Linked DNA regions of Arabidopsis thaliana. The protein of the gene in region 1 purifies or fractionates together with the protein of each later gene. This does not show direct contact. Each region holds a gene or a part of one and is shown in the gene's direction. Other genes may lie near its edges. The genes, in order: AT5G19760, GAMMA CAL2, GAMMA CAL1 and LHCA3.

Region 1 (6,765 bases):
CGAGCCTACCGTTATCGACGAAGTTCGTACTGGTACTTACCGTCAACTTTTCCATCCAGAGCAGCTCATTTCTGGGAAAGAAGATGCTGCTAACAACTTCGCTAGAGGACATTACACTGGTGAGAATCCACTTTCTGCTTGTTCTAACTTGTTAGGGTTTTTGAAATGGTCCTTAGAATGCTTCTTGTAATTGCAGTTGGGAAGGAAATTGTGGATCTATGTCTTGACCGTGTGAGGAAACTTGCCGACAACTGTACTGGCTTACAAGGGTTTTTGGTGTTCAATGCTGTTGGTGGTGGAACTGGTTCTGGATTGGGTTCTCTGTTGCTAGAGCGTTTGTCTGTAGATTATGGAAAGAAGTCTAAGCTTGGTTTTACCATATACCCTTCTCCTCAGGTACTCTTTCTTTTGCTAGACACTGAAGTAGAAACTCTTACATGACATGTTTCTATAGTGGTCTAATTTGGATGAAACTTGGTTTTAATGCATATTCCTCTGTGATGTCAGGTTTCTACTGCTGTTGTAGAACCTTACAACAGTGTTCTCTCAACGCATTCCCTTCTTGAACATACGGATGTAGCTGTCCTCTTGGATAACGAAGCCATCTATGACATTTGCCGCAGATCCCTAGATATCGAGAGGCCAACCTACACAAACTTGAACAGGTTGATATCACAGATCATTTCATCCTTGACAACATCTTTGAGGTTTGATGGTGCCATCAACGTGGATATCACTGAGTTCCAGACCAATCTTGTCCCATATCCCCGTATCCATTTCATGCTGTCATCTTATGCACCAGTCATCTCAGCCGCCAAGGCTTACCACGAGCAGCTATCAGTCCCTGAGATCACCAATGCCGTTTTTGAGCCAGCTAGCATGATGGCAAAGTGTGACCCGAGACACGGAAAGTACATGGCCTGTTGTTTGATGTACCGAGGAGATGTTGTTCCCAAAGATGTTAATGCTGCTGTTGGCACCATCAAGACAAAGAGGACTGTTCAGTTTGTTGACTGGTATGATCTAGAAATGGATAAAGCTGCTACTGTTTCTACCTTCATGTTGTTATTATATAATAACTCCTTTGGCATGGGTTTTGTTTTGCAGGTGCCCAACTGGGTTCAAATGTGGAATCAACTACCAACCTCCAACAGTTGTTCCAGGTGGTGACCTCGCTAAGGTTCAGAGAGCTGTATGTATGATCAGTAACAACACAGCAGTTGCAGAGGTGTTCTCACGGATCGACCACAAGTTTGATCTCATGTATGCGAAGAGGGCATTTGTCCACTGGTACGTTGGTGAAGGAATGGAGGAAGGTGAATTCTCTGAGGCACGTGAAGACTTGGCCGCACTGGAGAAAGATTACGAAGAAGTTGGTGCTGAAGGTGGAGACGATGAAGAAGATGAAGGTGAAGACTATTGACACCTTTTCTCAAAAAAACTGCAACCAAAAAAAGTTTTTTCGTTTATCTGTTTTCACTTTTGATTCTGTTGATTGTTTAAATCCTGTAAAATATTCGTTCGGTCTTCGTGTTTTATCTCGGTTGGATACATTTTCATTGGTAGAGCGACCATTGCGAGTTCCCGAGTTCATTATCAAGCTTTTGTTGTACCAAACTTTGATAATCTTCTTACAACTGTCCATTTTTCCTTGAAGTATAATCTCGTCTATCGGTGCGCTAACGTTTATCAACGTTCTGTATATGCTTTGTTGTCGTATCAGCTAATAATACATTTATGAGATTCAACTAATGTTAACAAACCACGTTGATCTTCACAAAAGGGCATCAGAATTATCAAATTGCATCAGAAATACTGCTCCACTGGTCCACTATCTAAAATACGGCGTGAAAAATGCCAAAAATTATTGAACAAATACAAAATACAAATACAGAAGATCAATTTTTTTAAAAAATTAGAATTTATTGGACCCAAAAAATTCAGAATACTAACGATTTTCAACTTCATACTAGAAAATTAGAAATGGACGAATGTCAAATCTAAAATTCATATGAATGCGTAATAAATAACTCTAAATATTTGGATTGCGTAAAATCCGAATGGTGAAAAGTAAAGTCCAAATTAATAAATTTAGAAAATATGTCTGGCTTAGATCAGATCTCATATGCAAATGGAAAAAAATAAAAATTAAAAAGGCAAGGGTTTGGTGCAATTTAGTTTCAGTTGGGTGGTGTTAATATAAAAGGCCCATAAGCTTCACACTTCATCGTCTCCTCTCCACCAAGTGAATCTCTTTCTCTCTCTCTTTTTCTCCGCGGAAGGAATCTCTTCTTCTGGTTGCGTTTGAGTCCGTACGAAAACAAAAGAAAAGAGAGAGATGGCGGAAGAGAAGAAAGCTCCAATCAGTGTCTGGACTACCGTGAAGCCCTTCGTCAATGGCGGTGCCTCTGGTATGCTCGCTACTTGCGTTATCCAGCCGATCGACATGATTAAGGTCTGTCAAATGTTTACGGATACACGTTTCTGTATCACCCATCTCTATGTCTAAGCTCGTTAGTATTAACAATTCTTGCTTGATTTGCTGGTATTGATACCTACGAAATCCGTAAATGTTGTTCATCAGATCCGAGTCTGTAGATTTTATCTCTCAGATCTGAGTTTTTGTTTTGGCTTATTATAATCAAATTTCATTGCTCGGAACATAGTCAGACTCGTTTGAGTGTGAATTGTTGCTATTGATACATGTTTAGATGAAATGTTCTAGTTCAGATCTGGATTTTGATTAGAATAACGTTCTTAGGTTCATCACAATGTGTGATTCTTCGCCTGTGTTCATAGGATTTTTAAATGATGTGAATGTAATTAACTAATACTTTGTTTTGTTTCTGGTTGGTGAAGGTGAGGATTCAACTTGGTCAGGGATCTGCAGCCAGTATAACCACCAACATGCTTAAGAATGAGGGCGTTGGTGCCTTCTACAAGGTATAAATTGCATTTCTGGATGCATTACTTATCTTGAAGATGTACGTTTTGTGTAGTATGTTTTCTATTGATATGTTCATGACTTTTGTTGATTTGTAATGTATATGATTTCTGCATTTCCGGATCTGAGTCTCAGCTATTCAAAGAATTAATTTCCTTATCTAACAGTCTTTCCAACAACAACATTAGTTATACCCCATTGAAGATGTCTCCTGAGCTTATTTGATGTTAATTTTTTTTAATAGGGATTATCTGCTGGGTTGCTGAGGCAAGCAACTTACACGACAGCCCGTCTTGGATCATTCAAGTAAGTTAGTCATTCGTCTTTCGTCTTGAGCCCATCCAGATGAATAGATTTTTATTGCCTTATGGTTATGGATAAATCATCCTCTCTTCTGTCAATCTTATTAGGTTGCTGACTGCAAAGGCAATTGAGTCTAATGATGGAAAGCCTCTACCGCTGTATCAGAAGGCACTATGTGGTCTGACAGCTGGTGCTATTGGTGCTTGCGTCGGTAGTCCAGCCGATCTAGCACTTATCAGAATGCAGGCCGATAATACTTTGCCGCTAGCTCAGCGCAGGAATTATACCAATGCTTTCCATGCGCTTACCCGTATTAGCGCTGATGAGGGAGTTTTAGCACTTTGGAAAGGGTGTGGGCCCACTGTGGTCAGAGCTATGGCTTTGAACATGGGAATGCTTGCATCTTATGATCAAAGTGCTGAATACATGAGAGATAATCTTGGTTTCGGGGAGATGTCTACGGTCGTAGGTAAGCTGCTCTTCCAAGTTTCTCATACAGTAAGAATATATTTTTTCTGTGAGCAGGTAGATAGCAGTTAGAGTCAAGGATCCTAAGAATCAATCGTCTTGGAAATTTACATTTGTAGCATATAATCTCCTGATTACACGAGTGTTAGATTGTCATAAATTAAATGTGTATTTCACTTAATACAATCTATCCAAGAACTACACCAAGGAAAATACTTTATTAATGAGAGGACTCTCTAAACTCTCAACCGTTGCCCAAACCCAGATCTAAGACCAATCCAGAATGGATCCCATTGCGTTGTCCTTACTCCCTTTTAAGAGCTACTAATTGTAAGGTCGCTCAGTTGGCAAAACTACACTTTTCTCAACTTCCTAGGCTTGTTACACTAGTTCTGCACTAGACTTAACAAGAAACCTTTATCAGTATTTTCATATGGTCATGTAATCTCTGTATGATAAATTGTAGTTAAAATAGATCTCTGAGTTTGGTTTTTGTTTACTTTAACAGGAGCAAGTGCTGTTTCTGGGTTCTGCGCTGCGGCTTGCAGTCTGCCATTTGACTTTGTCAAAACTCAGATTCAGAAAATGCAACCGGATGCTCAAGGAAAGTATCCATACACAGGTTCGCTCGATTGTGCGATGAAAACCTTAAAAGAAGGAGGACCTCTGAAATTTTACTCGGGTTTCCCAGTTTACTGTGTCAGGATTGCCCCTCACGTCATGGTATAATAGCTCTTATCTCCCTTTTTTGTTTATGTTATTGTAATTACCACTTCGTGATTGCCTCTAAGATAGTTGTTGATCGGGTTTTCTTTTGGCAGATGACATGGATCTTCCTAAACCAGATTACGAAATTTCAAAAGAAGATTGGTATGTGAGGAACAAATACAGCAGCAAAAAAATAAGATGAGAAGAACGAAAACACAATTGGAATTGTGTTCATTTGCTTTTTAATCATATACATAACCTGCCTTAAAAGCATATTATTGTAGCTGTTTGAACTTTAATTTTTTGTTTCGGTCGGTGATTGGTCCGGTGAATTTTAAATTTTCTTCTTTGGTGGAAGTTTAAGACACATAGCCAGAGATTTCAAAATTTTCATACGAACTAAAAAAATTCTCTGAATGAGGAAACAATAAATATATGAAACATTGATGATGGGGAAATATTTGAAGTGCTTGAAGAAAAGCTTGTTTCAACTCTAAGAAAATGTCAAGTGCAGGGTTCCCAAATAATTGTTTCGAAACACCAAACATTTGCATCAGCAGACAAGACCGTTTCCCCAAAACTCTGCCGATAACAATCCAGCAACCACCTCTAGGCTCCAGGTAAGAAACATGTCTACTTTGCAACAACTTCTTTGTGAGCTTTGAATGATAAAATCACATTCCAAGCCAAAGCCACTACGTTTGAAGCAAGTACCTGCAATAATTCATATATAAGACATCGATTCATCCTCAAAGCCAAAGAAAATCTTGCTAAGCATACTAGCTAGAAGCTAATGTCATTCAAGCGTAATTCATCTCAAGCTCATCATGTCAAAGATGTTTTTAACAAGGGCTCAAAAACATGAAAATGCGTAATAAATTCTCAAAGATTATACTAAGCAGAGGATTAACAGCGTGTGGGTCGTTATTCGTTATGTATGAAGCATATCTATCTTAACCCAATTGTATTTTTTTTCAGACTCCCGTTTCATGTAGTCACAGAGTTTAGTATCAAACCTGGTAGTTCTGTGGAACAAATCTGAAGTTAAGAAACTGAAATGGTATCCATAGCTGCCAATTTGCTATCATTGCACCAGTCCACTCCTATACAACCAGCAATTCATGGATTCAATTAGAACACCGCAAAAGATACAAAGTATCAAATTTAGATTCCTGCACCGGAAATATTAAGTTTAGTTAGGTTTTAATCCAACCTGTTGTAGCTTCGGTATGACATTTGATGGTTTTCCTTCAAGTGTCACAACTGCTGATAAGAAAACTCCAACAAAAATAGGAGCAAAAACAAACTGCAAATACAAATTTTGGTGTTAAGTGCTAACACAGAGGAAGCAAGATGGGAACATAATTGTTAGACTGGGAACAGGAAACTTTGCTACCTGATCCAGTAGAAGTCGTATAACTGCGCCTGATAATCCAGAAGCTGTCACCACTTTGCTCAAATACAAATACCTAATGGATGGAGTTGAGAGATTTCAGAGAACAGAGAATAAGCATAAGTAATATACCAATGGATGCATAAGTCTCTTCAACTGAAGAACCACTAGCAGAGACGTAATATAGTTAGCTTTTGCGGTGTCATACGAGTGAAAGGTCCACGGAAATACCAGAAATGCAATGTTGGACCGACTAGCCCTAAGCCCAAGAAGGTAAAGGTGAGTGTCCTCTTCTTGTCCAGCGATGAGGTCTTGTTGATAGTAAGCTGCAACCAAAAGTGATACGAATAAGCAATGTCGCTCACATATCTAGCAGAATACGATCAAGCATTATAAAGAAAATGGGGCTTTACTACATTATCCTGTATTTTGGGTCTATTAGCTTCCATTCTAACTTTAAAAAAGAGATAGCACAATTCAAGTTAAAGTCTGTCTGTTCAGAAATACATAATGCAGCAGCTCATGAATACTGTTTTATCTCGATATATCCTGAATAGTGAAGAATCCAAACTTCAAAGATAGCACAAAAATGAGAGAGTTACCTGACAGATCAAATCTCCAACGAGGTTCAAAAGTGCTGCGGTCACAGCTTTGGTCAAAACAGGAGAGTTTGAGAGAAGAGCCTGGTACCTGAAGCACCATAGAAAAAGGCACACAAAGTGTGTTTATGCTCAAGTCAAAAGCAAAGAATCATACTAGAAAAAAAGTGTTCCGTGAGTAAATTATTAACACATCCAAGAAAAATTTCCAACATCTGCTTCAATGAATTGCTTTTCAAAGAAACATCTTTACACAAGAACAGGAGTAGTGACAGGAGCAAGTAAGAAAAATTACCATGAGAGAAGTGACCACTTCTTTCCTTTTCCGTCGCTTCCATCACCACCACCGC
Region 2 (6,092 bases), on another chromosome or scaffold:
GTTGGTAATAGCAATTCTGATAAAAGAAGTGCAAAGGAGAAAGCAAGTCACCTTGCTCTTGTCAAATACCTTCAACAAGATCTTGCTGATTCAGCTTCAGAAGCAGAGCCTTCATCAAAGCGTCAGAAAAACGGAAACCCTATTCAAGATTGTGATCATGACGAGAAGCTTGTGTATCCTTGGAAAGGTACACACTTTAAAGGTTCTTACTTTTCTCCTTAAGATTGTACTGCAATGTGTGTTTAGTGTTTGTGTATATGTGGTTGAAACAGGTATTGTGGTGAATATTCCAACTACAAAGGCACAAGATGGTCGATCTGCGGGCGAGAGTGGATCGAAGCTAAGGGATGAGTATATTCTAAGAGGATTTAACCCGACTAGAGTTCGTCCTTTATGGAACTACTTGGGACATTCAGGAACAGCTATTGTGGAGTTTAACAAAGATTGGAATGGACTTCACAATGGTCTTTTGTTTGACAAGGCTTATACAGTAGATGGTCATGGGAAGAAGGACTGGTTGAAGAAAGACGGTCCCAAGTTAGGTCTTTACGGTTGGATTGCTCGTGCTGATGATTATAACGGTAATAATATTATTGGAGAAAACTTGAGGAAGACGGGTGATCTGAAAACTATAGCTGAGCTTACGGAAGAAGAGGCGAGGAAACAGGAATTGCTTGTGCAGAACCTGAGACAACTTGTAGAAGAGAAGAAAAAAGACATGAAGGAGATTGAGGAGCTTTGTTCAGTTAAGTCAGAGGAACTTAATCAGTTGATGGAAGAGAAGGAGAAGAATCAGCAAAAGCATTACCGTGAGCTGAATGCTATACAAGAAAGAACAATGAGTCACATTCAAAAGATAGTTGATGATCATGAGAAATTGAAGAGGCTGTTGGAGTCAGAGAGGAAGAAACTCGAAATCAAATGTAATGAGTTGGCAAAGCGCGAAGTGCACAATGGAACCGAGAGAATGAAATTGTCTGAAGATCTTGAACAGGTATCCATTTACTCTCTGTATCTCTCTTTTCAAGATATATGTTCAAGAAATAATTGGTTTTTTTCTCTTATCAGAATGCATCTAAGAATAGCTCTCTTGAACTAGCTGCCATGGAACAACAAAAGGCAGACGAGGAAGTTAAAAAACTTGCTGAAGACCAAAGGGTTAGTGACTTTCTTCTTCTTTGTAAAAATGGTTGGGCTTATTTTCGTGATTACTGAGAAAATTCTGTACCTAACAGAGGCAAAAGGAGGAGCTTCATGAGAAAATCATAAGACTAGAAAGACAGAGAGATCAGAAACAAGCGATTGAGCTAGAAGTTGAGCAGTTGAAAGGACAGCTCAATGTGATGAAGCACATGGCATCAGATGGCGATGCTGAAGTTGTGAAAGAGGTGGACATCATCTTCAAAGATTTAGGTGAGAAGGAAGCACAACTCGCAGATCTCGATAAATTTAACCAAACTCTTATCCTTAGAGAGCGCAGGACCAACGATGAGCTTCAAGAAGCTCATAAAGAATTGGTAAACGTATGTATCATTCAAAGTGTTGTTCTTTTCAATCACATCGAAAAGCTATGAGAAAGCTTGACATTTTACTAAAATCTTGGTTTTGTTTGTTTCATGTGCCTTCATAGATTATGAAAGAATGGAACACAAATATCGGTGTTAAGAGAATGGGAGAGCTCGTGACGAAACCATTCGTGGATGCAATGCAGCAGAAGTATTGTCAGCAAGATGTGGAGGACCGAGCAGTTGAAGTTCTCCAACTTTGGGAACACTATCTCAAAGATTCAGATTGGCATCCATTCAAGCGGGTCAAGCTCGAAAATGAAGATAGAGAAGTGGTAAGACCGCCTTCTTGACTCTGTTTGTTATGTTGAATCTCTCTGAAAGATTAAAAAGCTTTTTTGGTGTTGTTGTTAATTGTGTTTAGGAAGTGATAGATGATAGAGACGAAAAGCTGAGGGAGCTAAAGGCAGATTTGGGAGATGGTCCTTACAATGCGGTCACGAAAGCTTTGTTGGAGATAAACGAGTATAACCCGAGTGGAAGGTATATTACAACAGAGCTATGGAACTTCAAAGCAGATAAGAAGGCTACACTTGAAGAAGGTGTCACTTGTTTACTTGATCAATGGGAAAAGGCGAAACGCAAGCGTGGAATGGCTTAGAGGTTTAACCATTTTTGATAACCGAACAAAAATATGTTTTCATTTGCAATTGTTATTTGCTAATATAGGATTTCGATTGATGGTTTGCAGCTGCAAGATGATGGACATGGGACTGAATAAAAAGCCGATGCGGTTTTTAGTTGCAGAGAAATGTGTTTGGTTTGACCAAACTTTGGTGGATTCTGTTTGTTTTTCTTCTCAGAACTTAGTGAATAATTGACACAACTTTGATGTCTTGCATCGGTTCTTTTCATTGTAACATTTGTAGGAGTTTGGCCGCTTTGGACAATAAGAAATAAAAATATCATTGTAATATAATTCACATGTAAAACAACTAGATTTGGCCTCTCTTCTGTCTCATATCTTAAGCATGTCATTTAGAACCTTTTATTGTAAAAACAAACTTTGTCATGAGTTACTTTTTGTAGTCAAATTTGATATTGACCCCTTCCTTATTATGCTAACACTGTTTTCATCTTATAACCCTATAAATCTAAGTTTCGTGAATATAGCCAAAATCATCTACATCATTGCAAAGAACCTTAAAGGAGAAAGAAGAAAACCGGCTTGAGAGAGATGGAAAACAACTCAGGAGCTATTCTCTTTGTGATCTTAGCTATGACCATTGTTCTTCAAGTGAGGCCAGGGTTCTCTCAAGCACTCCCTACGATCCCCGGACTTTTCCCACCGGGTCTTCCTATTGATATCATAAAATGTTGGTCATCTCTCTTTAACGTCCAAGGATGTGTACAAGAAATCTACAAATCGATATTTTCTGGTCAGTTTGCTAGCATTGAAGCCCCATGTTGTAAAACGTTTTCAGCTATAGATACAAACTGTTGGCCACATATGTTTCCATTGAACCCATTCTTCCCTCCTATTCTCAAGAACAACTGCGAGCGTATTGCTACGACTCCATCATCAACACACAAGTGAAGGCTACACACAAATGTTGCGAGCCAGTTGTTAGCTTCGAGGTTTAAGAAGTTCTTTTATCGATTTGAGAGATCACAATGCCCAATAATCCAAAATTCTCCTTGCAGTAATTTTTTTTTTTTTGTAATCTTTAGCTTAAAATAAACAAAGCTAAGCTTTTTGATGTACTCGTATGTGTTTGCCATGTAGTTTGTTAAAAGAGTGGTTATAACATAAACAAAATTTTGTTTGCGTTTATATATGAAAATATTGTTCTTACACTATGGAATAAAACATATTTCAGCATTTAAAATTTGTAAAAACGACGAACACGAACGCATATCAATACCATACCAAAAAGATTATATCGTACATGAAACTTGTTGCAGACAATGGCATGACTAATGGGCCTCTATTAACTTAGCCCATAAGGCCCAATAAAACTTTCCAAATAGTTTCATTTTTCAGATTTTGAAGAATCTCCCGACGACTCCTCTCTGTCTCCTCCTCCGGGAAGCTTTCTGTCTCTCTCTCTCTCTCTCTACACAAGACCTTGAAGAATCCGATTCCATAACAATGGCGACTTCGTTAGCACGAATCTCTAAAAGAAGCATAACATCGGCTGTTTCATCGAATCTGATTCGGCGTTACTTCGCCGCGGAAGCAGTAGCGGTGGCGACGACGGAAACACCTAAACCGAAATCGCAGGTGACGCCGTCGCCGGATCGGGTAAAATGGGACTACAGAGGCCAGAGACAGATAATTCCTCTGGGACAGTGGCTACCGAAGGTAGCTGTAGATGCTTACGTGGCACCTAACGTTGTGTTGGCTGGTCAGGTCACCGTCTGGGACGGCTCGTCTGTATGGAACGGTGCCGTTTTGAGAGGAGATCTTAATAAGATCACCGTTGGATTCTGCTCAAATGTCCAGGAACGGTGTGTTGTTCATGCTGCGTGGTCGTCGCCTACAGGTTCTTGTTCTTTGTCATTTTTTCGGAATTTGAGTCTCTGTATGGTTCCATTGTAGCTTCTAGTTTGAGTTCTGGATATCCAATTGCTGTAGTTACTGCTTGCTAGCTAATGGAATCATTGATATTGGAATTTAGGGTTTTCATTTTCATCTTCCATTTTGATTATGGAAAATGTAGAGTCTCACCTTTAAGGAGATTTTACACTTTTATCTGAAGTAGTGAAGTGTAAGTAAGCATATTTGTTTGGAGTGAAGATGTCCCCAGATCAAGAATCATGAATGATATTTGTTCAGTAAAGTTAATCTTCAGAGCATTTTGCGTTTAGCTAGACAAGGATGCATAGAATTGCGTAGTTCTTTAGGTGATTAGTGATATTGGAAGCAAGAAACCCATTGATGATATGTGCTTGATTTTAAAATTTAGGTAATTCAGGGGTTGAATAGATTAGCATGGTGGAGACCATCTTGTTTAGTTGTAGAAAGTTGCCTAGCAGCTCTGGAGAAGTTTCAGGAACTATGTCATAGTAAAGATTTTTAGTTATGCGGAGAGAATTTTGCAGAAAGTTGATATTATATTCAGTGGTTGGAACCGAGATTCTGAAGCTGCGTCAAGCTGAATGAACATAAGCGTCTTTTAGTCTTACCAAGGTGGATTCCGTGTCAAAGTCTTTAGTTCAACAGCCTCCTGGTTTGATTAAGCTGTAGTTTACAACTAGTACTTAATTACTTGATTCACCATTTTTTCGGGTTAATAGCTCTGTATTATCAACCAGTCTTCATGCTTTTTCTATACTAACATCTTGAAGGATAGAGCATACTGTGGTGCTGCTTTTGAATTTTGATATGATAGATAAAAATCTGATCTTAGAAGATACTTTCTACTTTGATTTTTTTCAGGATTACCAGCACAAACATTGATCGATAGGTACGTGACAGTTGGTGCATACAGTCTTTTAAGATCATGCACTATCGAACCAGAATGCATCATCGGGCAACACTCAATCCTAATGGAAGGTTCACTGGTCGAAACCCGCTCAATCCTAGAAGCTGGTTCTGTTTTACCACCTGGCAGAAGAATCCCATCTGGTGAACTATGGGGAGGCAATCCAGCAAGGTTTATTCGAACACTCACCAATGAAGAAACCTTAGAGATCCCGAAACTTGCTGTTGCCATTAACCACCTAAGTGGAGATTACTTCTCAGAGTTCTTGCCTTACTCAACTATCTATCTAGAGGTTGAGAAGTTCAAGAAATCCCTTGGAATCGCCATCTAGAAAGCTTCTTCCAGGTTTCTGGCTACTTCCCTCATTAAGAAAGCTTCTTCGTTTTCGGAATTTGATCTGAATAAGTAGCTGCGGAACAAGAAAAAGAGCAGAGCTGTGTTTCAAATGTTGTCTTCTCTGTTTGTTTTGTTTAAGTTCATATCCTTGTGTTCAAACTTTCTATGAAGATGATAATGGTGAAAACTGGAAAGTGTAAAACTTCTTTCGTCTCCCCTCACAATTGGAAAAGCTAATAATCTCGTAGTGTTATAGAATTAAACATCTCGTACTAAAATATTTTCATCTTCAATTTTTATTGTGTTGCTTTGGGCGAAAAGCCAATCACTGAAACATTACAGAAACTGAGAGACGCAACTAAAATATGTAGTACCAAATTATTCCAATATCTCTAGAGAGCACAAAGCTAGTTCCCTCCCTTAATAAACCCTGAGAATTTATGCATGACTTCAATAGCATTATCACATTCAGGTTTCAACAAATGAAAAACATGATCTTCTCCTTCACTCTCCACCACTTCAACCTCTCCTTTCCAACCAGACTTCTCAAGCTTAGCCGCGTAACCCCAACCCTGCCTCACCAACGCATCTTTCTCAGCCACCATTACCAAAACCTTACCACAACCCAACCCAGACAAATCCACCGACTCTGATTGCACCACGTTGAGCAACGGATCATCTGTTCCATCTTTGCTATTAGGACTTGCCATCATCCAAAACGCCTCTATCTTCATCCTCAACGTTTCATCTTTCGTATCCTTCT
Region 3 (6,231 bases), about 19 Mb from region 1:
TTTGCTATATCTAATAAAGCAATAACTTCGCCATTTTCAACAACCGGCAAATGTCTGAATTTTCCTGCAGTAGGTAAGGTTAAGATATAGCCTCATTAAGGATCTAGACACAGCAATCAGATAAACATCAAGTTTCTCTAGCTTAAAAACAATGAGACAAACCTTGGACCATCTTTTGGAGAGCTTCAACAGCAAGTGTTTCTGAGAGAACAAACATTGGGTTCTTCGTCATAACCTTAGATACAGGTGTTTCCTCGACATTAAGTTCCTGTGAAATCACTCTTGTAGCTATGTCCTGAAAATCCAAAAAAGACACACATACACACAGATCAATGAAGTCTCCATTTCCTTCTTCCAATCTGTTTCTAACTTTTTAACTACACTTAGCGAATAGTGGCATACCTTATCAGTAAGAATACCACAAAGCATTTCATTAGAGTCAGTCAACAACAAGGCATCAACTCGTCGTGAAGCCATCCTTTTACAAGCTTCATATATAGTTGTTGTTGCTGGTACTGTAAGTGCTTTCGATAGCCTTAACCGTTTCACAGTCCGCTCGCCTCCTGTTAAACCCCTGCTCCATATACAGATGAGAGAAAAAAGTTAAAACCAAATCACAATAGCTTCAATGGAAAAGAAATAAGGTAAACCTGAGGAGCTAGATGTTCTCTATGAATTGAATACGAGCATAAACTAGGGTTTATATATAAGATTGAGACCCAGCTGAGACTTACAAAGGAGAACGAGAAACAGTAAGAGATCTCCGGCCAGTATCGAGACCTCGTTCGGCCATATCCATGGATTTCTTCTTTCCGTGCAATGACGCAGTCGTAACGGATAAGCTCCGTCTTGGCCCGCCTTGGCTAGCCATATCTACTGTATGATATAGAAAAAATCAAACCCTTGTAATCGTCAACGCTTACGAAATGATTACCAAAATTCGAATAAGGAAAGTTTTTCTGGAATCGAAACTAAACAAAACGCCAAAAAACAAACACTAATAAGAATCAGAAAACTCGTGAAATCAAAGCTATTACCAGGCGGATTCGTCGGGTCAACAAATGGATTCTGGGATTGAAAAAACTGAGCTACACCAAGTTGGGATTAGTTCCGTTTCGTAGATGCTCTCTTCTCTCCTTTCTCAAAATGTTCGTGAGACAGATAACGGCAAGAGAGAAAACGACGATTTGTGAGACGAGAAAGATTACAGAGATTCTCCCGGGAAAGTGACGGGAAAATGTAAGAAAATTAGAAAGCAAGAAATATTCTGTGATTTTTCTCTCTGAAAAACACGTTTTATTTTGCGATTTTCACCCAATCGGATTCTTTGATTTCGATGCTCTGTCGAATTGGACGATCGCTACCTTTTTTTTTTTTGGTCTTTGCTTTTTTTTTTGGGGGGGCAATATATTGATTTCTTATATCTGGTTATTGACACTTATATCCTCAATATTTGAGAACTATGACAAGTGGATCAAAGATTTGTTTCTCATTTGGCAAAGGGTTTTATCGTCATTAGCTATTTATGGTCATTATTACACACGAGTTGATACTTTTTCTGGATTTTATTTTTTATATGTTGATTATTGGATTTGCCTTTTACTCTTTCTTCTTAGCATTTGGATTTTTTTTTTTCCTTTTTTTTGGACAAATTGGATTTCGTCTAAGACAGAAAATTCAAACTGATTTTTTCTTAAAACAGGTTAATTTAATTAGGATATTAAAAGTTCTGTGTTCTATCTGGATAAAAACGTGTAGACTAAAAACAAAATGAAAATAAAATATCCATTCTGTCTCATTTTCAGTTTCTTACAATGTATTTAAGGATTTGTTCCATCCATGGTTGTGAAATCTGTGTGAACCAAAAAAAAAAAAAAAAACAGAAATTTTAATATTCAAACTTTATATTAATTGTTGAATATTTCAATGTTAAAAACAGTGAAATGAATCAATGTCACAACAGTTTTGACCAAAAGGAAAAAGAATTGGTGTCACAACAATTTTGACCAAAAAAAGAAAAGAATTGAGGTCACACTCACAACAATAGTCAATAACCAAAGCTACTTTAGCTTCATGGATATGGACCAAACATAAGTTATGAATTATAATACTGGGCCGAAAACTCAAAGCCCATATGTATAAGATTCACGTTGTTCGAAATCTTTTCCCACTAAACAATAATTTTATAATTAAACCTAAAGTATGTCCACGTGGATACCATCAATTGGTTCACCACAGCATTAGCTTTCACATCACACGAGAAGCTTCGTCTCTAACTAAAACCAAAAATACTCCAGCTCCTTCACCACTCTCTATTTCTCTCTCCAAATTCATTTCTTCTCTCTTTAAGACAAGAAGTTATGGCGGATTGGGGCCCAGTGTTGATCGCCGTGATCCTCTTCGTAGTTCTATCGCCGGGGCTTCTTTTCCAGATTCCGGCGGGAGGTCGAGTTGTCGAATTCGGTAATATGCAGACGAGTGGCGCTTCGATTCTCGTTCACGCCATCATTTTCTTTGGTCTCATCACTATCTTTACCATCGCCATAAACGTCCACATCTATTCCGGTTAACTGTTTAGCCAGACAAACCGGTGCTGCTTGGTTTTATTTCAATTTGATTGTAAGGTCTGGATTTGTTTTGTTTGTAACATTTTCGGATTTGTGAATATAATCAAAATTTCACCAAATGATACAACATCCAGTTTTGTTTTTGAATCTGGTATCAATCTGTAGAGTTTGTTTGGGATCTGGTTTAATTTGGTTTTCAAATGCTACTTGACACCTAATGTACATCCACCTAATAAGTGAAACGACGACGTTTTACTATTATTGGGCCTGTGGTCCGTTAAAAAGCCCAATATGCTGTATCTCGTTTAATTTCAGGTGAATCTTTCGACGACCACTCTCTCTCTTTTCCTCTTTGCAAATCCTTGAAGAAATCCAAAATCCATAGCAATGGCGACTTCGATAGCTCGATTGTCTCGGAGAGGAGTCACTTCTAACCTGATCCGTCGTTGCTTCGCTGCGGAAGCGGCGTTGGCGAGGAAGACAGAGTTACCTAAACCGCAATTCACGGTGTCGCCGTCGACGGATCGTGTGAAATGGGACTACAGAGGCCAACGACAGATCATTCCTTTGGGACAGTGGCTTCCGAAGGTAGCCGTTGATGCTTACGTGGCACCCAACGTTGTGCTGGCTGGTCAGGTCACAGTCTGGGACGGCTCGTCTGTTTGGAACGGTGCCGTTTTGCGCGGCGATCTCAACAAAATCACTGTTGGATTCTGCTCGAATGTACAGGAACGGTGTGTTGTTCATGCCGCCTGGTCTTCCCCAACAGGTTATTGCTTCCTTCCTTCCATTTTCAAAAAAAATTGTGTTCTGATTATCCAATTTTTTGTATGGAATCAAGACAATGTTGATTGGGATTTAGGGGTTTTCATTGTCCATTTTCAGTTATGAAAAGCTTATTGAAGAGTCGAGAACTTATATGGACAATTAAGTAAATTGGTTCTGCATAATAGTGTTCTCTCGAGTACAGATTTTCTTGCTTGAAGAATCGTCCAGTGAACTGTGGCTGTGGCTATTGTTCTTACTCTTTTGAGCATAATGAGTTTTAACTTCGCCGATTATGTGTGTGGAAACGTGTTGTTCTTTAGGTGATTAGCATTACAGGAATCAAGAAACTAACTGAAGATTGAGCTTAATATTGAGAGTTGAATAGATTAGCGTAGTACCACACACGATCATCTTGTGTAGTAGTAGGAAGTTTCTTAGCAGAAATTTGGGAACAATGTCTCGATAAAAGGATTTTGGTTTTTTTAATGACTTATGCAAGGATTTGGTTTTCTGGTCACTCGTGACTGGAAGTGGGATGCAATGGTGATAAAGCTGTATCACATGGATGTGAACTTGTTTTTGCTCCAAGGTTTAGACAAGGGAAGTTTTCAAGTAAAAACATTTGAAGAGTGACCATTCTGGTTTGATAGGGTCTGCTGAATTTTATTTGACCCGGAACAGTATCTATTCAACTTGTCACATTGATGAAACTATTTGTTTATCTTTCAAGGCTAAATTTATATCTTGGTTCTTTTTTTACATCACAAATTTGATTCTGGGGTATCTATTTTAAAATTTCAGGATTACCAGCAGCGACAATAATCGACAGGTATGTGACAGTAGGTGCCTACAGTCTTCTGAGATCATGTACCATCGAACCAGAGTGCATCATCGGTCAACACTCAATACTAATGGAAGGCTCACTGGTTGAGACCCGGTCAATCTTGGAAGCGGGTTCAGTTGTGCCGCCAGGAAGAAGGATCCCATCAGGTGAACTATGGGGAGGCAATCCAGCAAGATTCATTAGAACCCTAACCAACGAAGAAACCCTAGAGATCCCAAAACTCGCTGTAGCCATCAACCACTTAAGCGGAGATTACTTCTCTGAGTTCCTACCTTACTCAACTGTCTACTTAGAGGTAGAGAAGTTCAAGAAGTCCCTTGGGATCGCCGTTTAGAAGCTTCATCTTTTTCGTGATTCACTTTCATGTGTTTATCTATCATATGAGGTCTTTCTCTCTGCATATTGCAATAAGTAGCTGATGAACATCAAAACAAGTCCGGCTCTCTTTTTTGGTTCTAAAACGTTTGTCATTTCGTTTTTTGGGTTCTTTGTAAAATTCCATTTAAAACTGATTTTGGCTGAATATTGTCTGAATGATAATGGCGACGACTTCTGGTTTTGTTGTTGTGAGCAATTAAACAAAACAAATAACTAAACTAAATGGTTTTTCGTTATTTGGGATCACTAAAAGGAACATTGTGTAGAAGAATTAATTATACAGGACTTGTGACGTTTTATTTGACAGAATGAAGAACGTAGGTCAAACTAAAATTATGTAATGGAATTTACTCAATATGGGTTACATTTTGAAAATCTTTAAAATTCTTCCGTTGCTTGTAGGTTATAAACATATAACTCATGTCTAATTAATTCGTAAATCAACACCCTTTTGTTCTCACTCTATAAATTCAAAGTTCCTGCACATAACCAAATCATCAAAGTGAAAAGAAGCAAGAAAAATAAGAAAGAGATAAGATTAATAAGAGATGGAAAGCAAAGCAAGAGTTATTGCCTCCTTAGTCCTAGTTGTAGTTAACTTATCATTCTCTTAATAAGCATAAAACAAACAGACACCTTAATATTAAGATGTATACGAGACAATAAGATATACCGAACTATAAACGTGAAGAAATCTTTGGATGCTCACTTCTTTCTTTTCCTCTCCCTCCTCCAAGATTAAGCTGCGTCCGATTTCACCATCGCAGAATATACCGCCAAACGGTAACTCCGGGAAGTTCTCTAAAAACGGTGAGCTGTCTGCGTTTGGACAACCAAAGAAGGAATCACCGCGACAGCTACCGACGAAAGCAAAACCTCCAACGACTTCCGGTTTATTCGGCTTAGACTTGAGATTTCTAAGTTGAGCAGAAACATCATTTAGTGCTGCTTCAGCCACTTTGAGATCAGGGAGGTATACTTGGAATTGGTCGCCGGTTTTGATTCCGGCACCATCAACTAAAAGATCCTGATCGTCAGATCTGAGTAAGCAAACCAAAAAAAAAAAAACTTAGATGGGTCAAAAGGGACAGATTCATGTTATGATACTTGTTGATCCGATCGTTACCCATTCACTTGATGAAATACAAGGGAGGACATGATTTTTGGCTTCTCCTCCAAACCAATTGAGTATTTTCTACGTTTTATTACTCCGAGGTATGAATCATTCTCCCAGATATAGTTTTCTAGCTGCAAATTTCAAGTCAGTTAAGTAACCAAACTGATTTCAGGATTAGATAAAAGATTGGCTTCAGATGCTTACAATATTATCTATGTCATCTAGAATTTGATCGCCATCAAGAACCTCTGCTTCTCCTCTTCTTTTGGCAGTCAGAAGCGTCGAAGGACAACTAGGGCCGAGGCTAACATTGACATTAGCCGCCTTGTACCTCAGATCAACCGATGACATTCCATTTGATATTGCAGTGTCAAACTGAATTCTTTCAGCCTCTGCTTCATTTAGTTCAACAAGTTGAGTAAAATGAAAAGAAGAGATTTTAATCGGAAACACATAACCAGCACAACATGAAAGAACGATGCTGAAATATTTAACCTAGCATAGTAAAGATAAAGTGTGTCTCTCGATGTACTGTAGTTTTTTAAGAAACTAATATT
Region 4 (5,561 bases), on another chromosome or scaffold:
ATCCCAAATTTTCTCCATGTATGTCTTTCCCATAAACCTCATAAAATCTATCTATAATAGTCTGTCTCCCAGCATCATTGACATTCTGATTCCTAATATTTCCTTTAAGCTTCTCCTCAATTCTTAGTTCAAGGTAGAAACGAGTTTGCTCATCATTCCACGCAAGATTCTTAGTTGATCATGTGTTTTTGTACAAAATCAGTCTAAATTACAGAAAATGTTACAGTAAATCTAAGTTTAGAGGAAAATATACTCACATCGGTACCATTGATAGTTGTCATCTGTAGCACACAATGAAAACAAACGTTTTGTAGTTGTGTTAGAACAAGATCAAAGATACCAAACAAATAAAACAAAGATCAGAGATAACAAAGCAAACAATACACAACTTATGATAACAAAGCAAAGCAAATAAAACGTGTACAAAGATTAGAGATAACAAAGCAAAGAAAAACTATTTGATATTGAACAATCATGAGATATTATTCTTGACTATTTCTACAGTATTTGAACTCAAACCTTAGACGAACTCATGCTACTACTACAGAAAGCCAAATGCAACCACTAATTACAGAGGACGTACCTGAGAAACCAAAGCTTTCTTACTTGGAGACAAAACTTGCTGAAACAAGGACTGAAGAGAAAAAATCTTTTATAAGATGAAATTCTCCCGTATAAATAAGCAGTTATAAGCTATACACGAGTCACAACATCATCAATCAACAAAACTCAGAGCCAAACTTGTTCTTCGAGACTAAATAGAGACTAATGCAAAGTTTTTTATCAATGAGCTATACACGAGTCACAACATCATCAATCATTGTATCTCAAAACAAATCAGATAACACAATCTGGATCCTAGCTTTCTGCATCAAAAATACAAAAGACCTATAAACACAAAAACAATTCCACTTTGGATGCAATTGAACACGTCAAGGAGGCAGCTGAAGTTTGTAACTATGGATGGTCAATCTAAAGAGGGCTAAAGTGCAGATGCTAAAGTGGCAGCACCAAATGGTTCTGTTGCTCCTAATGTAGAGACAACAAAGCCTCTTAAGAGCAAATCGAAGACTCAAAAGCAACACAAAGCAAGCAAAGCAACACAAGCCGTAAACTAAAGCTAATCGAAGAATCAAAAGCAACACAAAGCAAAGTAAAGCAAACCCACAATTAAACAATGTAACCATGGTGGATCAAACCCAAGAACAAGTGATTGCAACAAGGATACAAAGAGAAACAACGAGAGAGACATGGAGCGAGAGAGAGGAAGCGAGAGAGGGAGAGAGAGAGAGAGAGAGAGAGAGAAACACAAACCTACTACACTCCGGCGATGGATCCGACGAGTCTCCAGTGAAGAATCGGCGACGGCGAGATCACCGGCGAAGAATCAGCATCATTGACGGCTATGAATCTCAATTTTGAGTGTTTTGTGTCGAGGAGAGGGTGAAGAAGAGATGTGGTTTTTGGATGTAATTCCATATATTAGATTAGGGTATTATTGACATTTTATAATTTTGGCTGAATCAGCTTCAGCAGAATGAACAAATCAAACTCAGTCAGATTTTTTTTATTTTTTGGATGAGTTTAGAAAAAAACATTCAACTGAATCATTCAAATGATCTATTTAAACATGAAAAACAAACAACAATTTTCATCTTCATTGAGATGGTTCATCCAAATGGACAAACAAACAGGACCTTAATAGAACAACCCAAAAAAGAACTCTTACAAATTGATTAATAAAATAATTTAATCAAAAAGAATTATAGATTTTTATTTTAAAAACTACAAATAGTTTAAAAAAAATATAATATTTACAATTTCCATCACAAATTGTTTCTTAATGCCCAAGGATGAAGGATCACATAGTTAATAAGTAATTAAGTACTATTTTATTCATGTACTTTCTCTTTGCCCTATCCAGAGTTGCTACAAGCCTAAAACTCGGTTTTACCACGATTTTTCTTTGGTGTATTTGACAGACTATTAATGGTTTGTTTATCTCTATTATCAGTTGAATTGTTATATCAAAATTTGAACTGATTGGGTATAAAAAGAAACTGAGAACTGATTCATGCTAAGGAAACCTTGTTTAACAAATACCATGGATGCTTTTTAACCGTATCAGCCTCTCCAATGTTTTCGTAAATCAATAGTTCAAAATTTTTTTCTACCACACAAGTGCATCTCCATTCCAATTTTCAATCTATATAAATCATATGTATTTTTTGTATCCAATAGTCATCTTTGTAAAGATTTTTTGTTCGTGTGTGGCGGATAAGCAAAAACAGAATAACATAATCTCTTATCCAACTTATATTGCCACGTGGACAGATATAGTTGGTGAAGCAGATACTAATCTAATCTGAGCAAAACCAGTTGGGCTATTTGAAAGCCACAAGTACTTGGAACCTTTGTTTCTTCTACCCTAACATAGCCCTTGCAAACCATAACCAAACCATCATCATCATCATCTCTTGGTGACAGAAGAAAAGAGTTGAGGAACAGAGAAAATGGCAGCACAAGCACTTGTGTCTTCTTCACTTACCTCCTCTGTTCAGACAGCTAGACAGATATTTGGCTCAAAACCAGTTGCGTCTGCCTCACAGAAGAAGAGTTCCTTTGTTGTTAAAGCTGCTGCAACTCCACCTGTCAAGGTACATGACAGTCTCTATTCTTTCACAGATCTCTCTCTTTCTCTATGTACTGAATAATCTGATCTTGATTTTGTGTTTTGGTTTTTCAGCAAGGAGCCAACAGACCATTGTGGTTTGCTTCATCGCAGAGTCTCTCTTACTTGGATGGCAGGTAATGTTCAAACAACTTTTGGAATTTTATTTGTTTTGAGAACTTCATGATGTTCAAAATTTGGAGATGTTCTGATTCTTCTTGCAGCTTACCTGGTGACTATGGATTCGACCCTCTTGGTCTTTCAGACCCAGAAGGTACTGGAGGATTCATTGAGCCAAGATGGCTAGCATACGGAGAGATCATCAACGGACGGTTCGCCATGTTGGGTGCAGCTGGAGCTATTGCTCCTGAGATTTTAGGAAAGGCTGGTCTGATTCCAGCAGAGACTGCTCTTCCTTGGTTCCAAACCGGTGTGATTCCACCAGCAGGGACATACACTTACTGGGCAGACAATTACACACTCTTTGTTCTCGAGATGGCTCTGATGGGATTCGCTGAGCACCGGAGGTTACAGGACTGGTACAACCCAGGATCTATGGGAAAACAGTACTTCTTGGGGTTAGAGAAGGGTTTGGCCGGTTCAGGTAACCCGGCTTACCCCGGTGGACCTTTCTTCAACCCTCTTGGGTTTGGGAAAGATGAGAAGTCACTGAAGGAGTTGAAACTCAAGGAGGTCAAGAACGGTAGACTGGCTATGCTCGCCATCCTCGGTTACTTTATCCAAGGACTAGTGACCGGTGTGGGACCTTATCAGAACCTGCTTGATCACTTGGCTGATCCCGTCAACAACAACGTCTTGACCAGCCTCAAGTTCCACTGAGGTGATCATCATCTCATGTGTTTTTATGTCTCTTGTATCGTACAATATTTCCATCTTTCGCTACCATTGGCTTCTTCGTATTGTAACACCCTGTGTAAACATATTCGTGTTTTGTAAGAAATGACAATGTCAATGGCCAAACGAAAAAACTTTTAGGATTAACAGTTGGCATTTGCAAACCAAACAAAGCGGTTAGTATATTCAAAGAATGTTATGAAATACTGTACCTGTTATGCTTTAAAAGTAGTCTCATCTTATCACTCTGTATCTCCCAAACCACCTTAGACATTTAAGACAAAAACAAATTTAACAATAAGCCATGTTGGTGCTATCAAAGAGAAACACTATCAATGGATTTGAAGACAAAACTATAATTGAAGAAGTAGCTCTTTCGTGTTATCTTTTAAGCCGTACCTAGTTCAGAACTTGCAAGACGAATGGAAAGAAGTTCTCCACCAGCAGAAAATTGCACTGCGTCCATTAGGTCCTGGTTCCACATAAAGAACCCTAGTCCATTGATATAAACAAAGGCCAAGCAAGAACAATTGCGGAGACAAATCTGGTAACAATCTTCAGCATCCAAAACACTTGCAAACCCTAATGGATATATAAACCCTTTGTAGCATTTAAATTTTGGAGGAACGTGCGTCACACACAAACCAAAAGATCCACATCCACTGTACTAATCACATGAGTTCGCTGGAGTCTCAAAGGTCATTATGCTGAAAAATCCTGGCGATTTCTGAAACCCTTCTATCAAAACCCTTCTGGCATTCACAAGATCCAAATAGCTAAAAGAAACCACCCCAACTCTTTGTAACCCTACATTCTCGTTCAGGCATTTCATCGAACAGTTCAAGTGCATGCATACGCCACATGCGATTATAGTAAACACTTAATGTTTTTGAACTGTATGTAGATTGACCGATTCAACCAGCTGGAAGCCAATTCGGCATTTAGGGGAAGCTGACGCAAATTTCCGGTAAGAAGATCCGGTCTAAAATAGTGTTTCCGGTGATCAGGATTTGTCACTCCCGCTGACAATAATATCTGATAGCTTTTCATATTAACCCCTAAAGAATGTTTGATATCCGATATTAATCCCAAATTTTGTTTCATACTATTTTCATCCACCAGATTCAGATCCATATAAAAAGTTTTGTGACTCATTTACCTAATTCAAAAAACGTTTTCCGTAAGGCCCATTTACATGCTAACTTTGGGCCTATATGCCTAGGTTTTGGTCGATTTTTGAAATCAAGGAAACCCTTATTATTCCTTCCTTGATAAAGAAGAATCTTCGTTATTGCCCTATTGACGTCCAAAGCCAGATCTTCCATACGCCGCCATGAACGGCGAAAAACCACTCCGTGAGAGGAAGAAGAAGATGCCGTATCCTTCTCCGGTGACAGAAGAACCAATCTCTATCATGTCACTTCCTTATGACTTGTTATTGAACTGCTTCTCACTCGTCTCAAGGTTGTATTATCCAACTCTCTCCCTCGTTTCCAAAACTTTTCGATCTATCATTACTTCACGCGAACTTTACGAGATCCGATCACGCTTAAACCGTACGGATAAGTGTCTCTATCTTTGCTTCCCTTACGACATGAACACGCATTGGTTCACTCTCTGCCGGGAACCTAATCGAAACGTTGCCGAGAATTCAAGTGGCTATCTTCTGGTCCAAGTTCCATCTCCCAATGGTTTACTTCCTGTGCATTCGTCGAGTGTCATAGCCGTTGGTTCTAATATCTACAAAATCGGCGGCACTAAGTCTTATAGACACAAACTCTGGAAAAGGACGCGCTATTCTTCTTCTGTCTCTGTCCTGGATTGTCGGAGTCACAGGTGGCGTCAGGCTCCAGGAATGCGAGTGGCCCGGGGCTGTTCCTCCACAGTATGTGAAGTTGATGGGAAGATATATATAGCAGGAGGCTGTAAAGAAGACATCGGTTCCTTGTACTGGATTGAAGTGTTTGATCCAAAAACTCAAACTTGGGGCACTCTGAAGAACCCATGCATTGAGTATCAACATGATATTGGATAT

What was found.
Region 2: the proteins of AT5G19760 (region 1) and GAMMA CAL2 fractionate together in Arabidopsis thaliana (co-fractionation; one large-scale study listed by BioGRID). This does not show direct contact.
Region 3: the proteins of AT5G19760 (region 1) and GAMMA CAL1 fractionate together in Arabidopsis thaliana (co-fractionation; one large-scale study listed by BioGRID). This does not show direct contact.
Region 4: the proteins of AT5G19760 (region 1) and LHCA3 fractionate together in Arabidopsis thaliana (co-fractionation; one large-scale study listed by BioGRID). This does not show direct contact.

Annotation. Positions count from the first base shown.
Region 1 is NC_003076.8:6,677,419-6,684,183, reverse strand, and holds AT5G19760 (Mitochondrial substrate carrier family protein), read left to right. Parts: upstream 1-2,129; 5' UTR 2,130-2,338; coding exon 2,339-2,455; intron 2,456-2,859; coding exon 2,860-2,943; intron 2,944-3,188; coding exon 3,189-3,250; intron 3,251-3,354; coding exon 3,355-3,716; intron 3,717-4,223; coding exon 4,224-4,438; intron 4,439-4,536; coding exon 4,537-4,593; 3' UTR 4,594-4,878; downstream 4,879-6,765. Other genes in the region: TUA3 (tubulin alpha-3), read left to right, coding at 1-119, 197-396, 508-1,016, 1,108-1,423; AT5G19750 (Peroxisomal membrane 22 kDa (Mpv17/PMP22) family protein), read right to left, coding at 5,057-5,137, 5,440-5,526, 5,637-5,729, 5,820-5,892, 6,048-6,142, 6,419-6,506, 6,711-6,765. UniProt on the Arabidopsis thaliana protein: Catalyzes the transport of dicarboxylates, such as oxoglutarate, oxaloacetate, malate, and succinate, and of tricarboxylates, such as citrate, isocitrate, cis-aconitate, and trans-aconitate by a counter-exchange mechanism across the inner mitochondrial membrane.
Region 2 is NC_003074.8:18,031,450-18,037,541, forward strand, and holds GAMMA CAL2 (gamma carbonic anhydrase-like 2), read left to right. Parts: upstream 1-3,485; 5' UTR 3,486-3,657; coding exon 3,658-4,051; intron 4,052-4,947; coding exon 4,948-5,324; 3' UTR 5,325-5,592; downstream 5,593-6,092. Other genes in the region: IDN2 (XH/XS domain-containing protein), read left to right, coding at 1-187, 273-994, 1,069-1,158, 1,236-1,523, 1,631-1,840, 1,930-2,166; AT3G48675 (egg cell-secreted-like protein (DUF1278)), read left to right, coding at 2,743-3,102; CXE12 (alpha/beta-Hydrolases superfamily protein), read right to left, coding at 5,737-6,092.
Region 3 is NC_003076.8:25,421,100-25,427,330, forward strand, and holds GAMMA CAL1 (gamma carbonic anhydrase like 1), read left to right. Parts: upstream 1-2,867; 5' UTR 2,868-2,954; coding exon 2,955-3,336; intron 3,337-3,866; coding exon 3,867-3,947; intron 3,948-4,136; coding exon 4,137-4,513; 3' UTR 4,514-4,772; downstream 4,773-6,231. Other genes in the region: AT5G63490 (CBS / octicosapeptide/Phox/Bemp1 (PB1) domains-containing protein), read right to left, coding at 1-64, 163-295, 403-574, 735-871; AT5G63500 (transmembrane protein, putative (DUF 3339)), read left to right, coding at 2,361-2,570; AT5G63520 (F-box/LRR protein), read right to left, coding at 5,201-5,597, 5,684-5,805, 5,879-6,066. UniProt on the Arabidopsis thaliana protein: Involved in complex I assembly in mitochondria and respiration.
Region 4 is NC_003070.9:22,697,639-22,703,199, forward strand, and holds LHCA3 (PSI type III chlorophyll a/b-binding protein), read left to right. Parts: upstream 1-2,254; 5' UTR 2,255-2,513; coding exon 2,514-2,657; exon of another isoform or gene 2,658-2,746; coding exon 2,747-2,808; exon of another isoform or gene 2,809-2,854; coding exon of another isoform or gene 2,855-2,895; coding exon 2,896-3,511; 3' UTR 3,512-3,774; downstream 3,775-5,561. Other genes in the region: AT1G61540 (Galactose oxidase/kelch repeat superfamily protein), read left to right, coding at 4,860-5,561. UniProt on the Arabidopsis thaliana protein: The light-harvesting complex (LHC) functions as a light receptor, it captures and delivers excitation energy to photosystems with which it is closely associated, here photosystem I.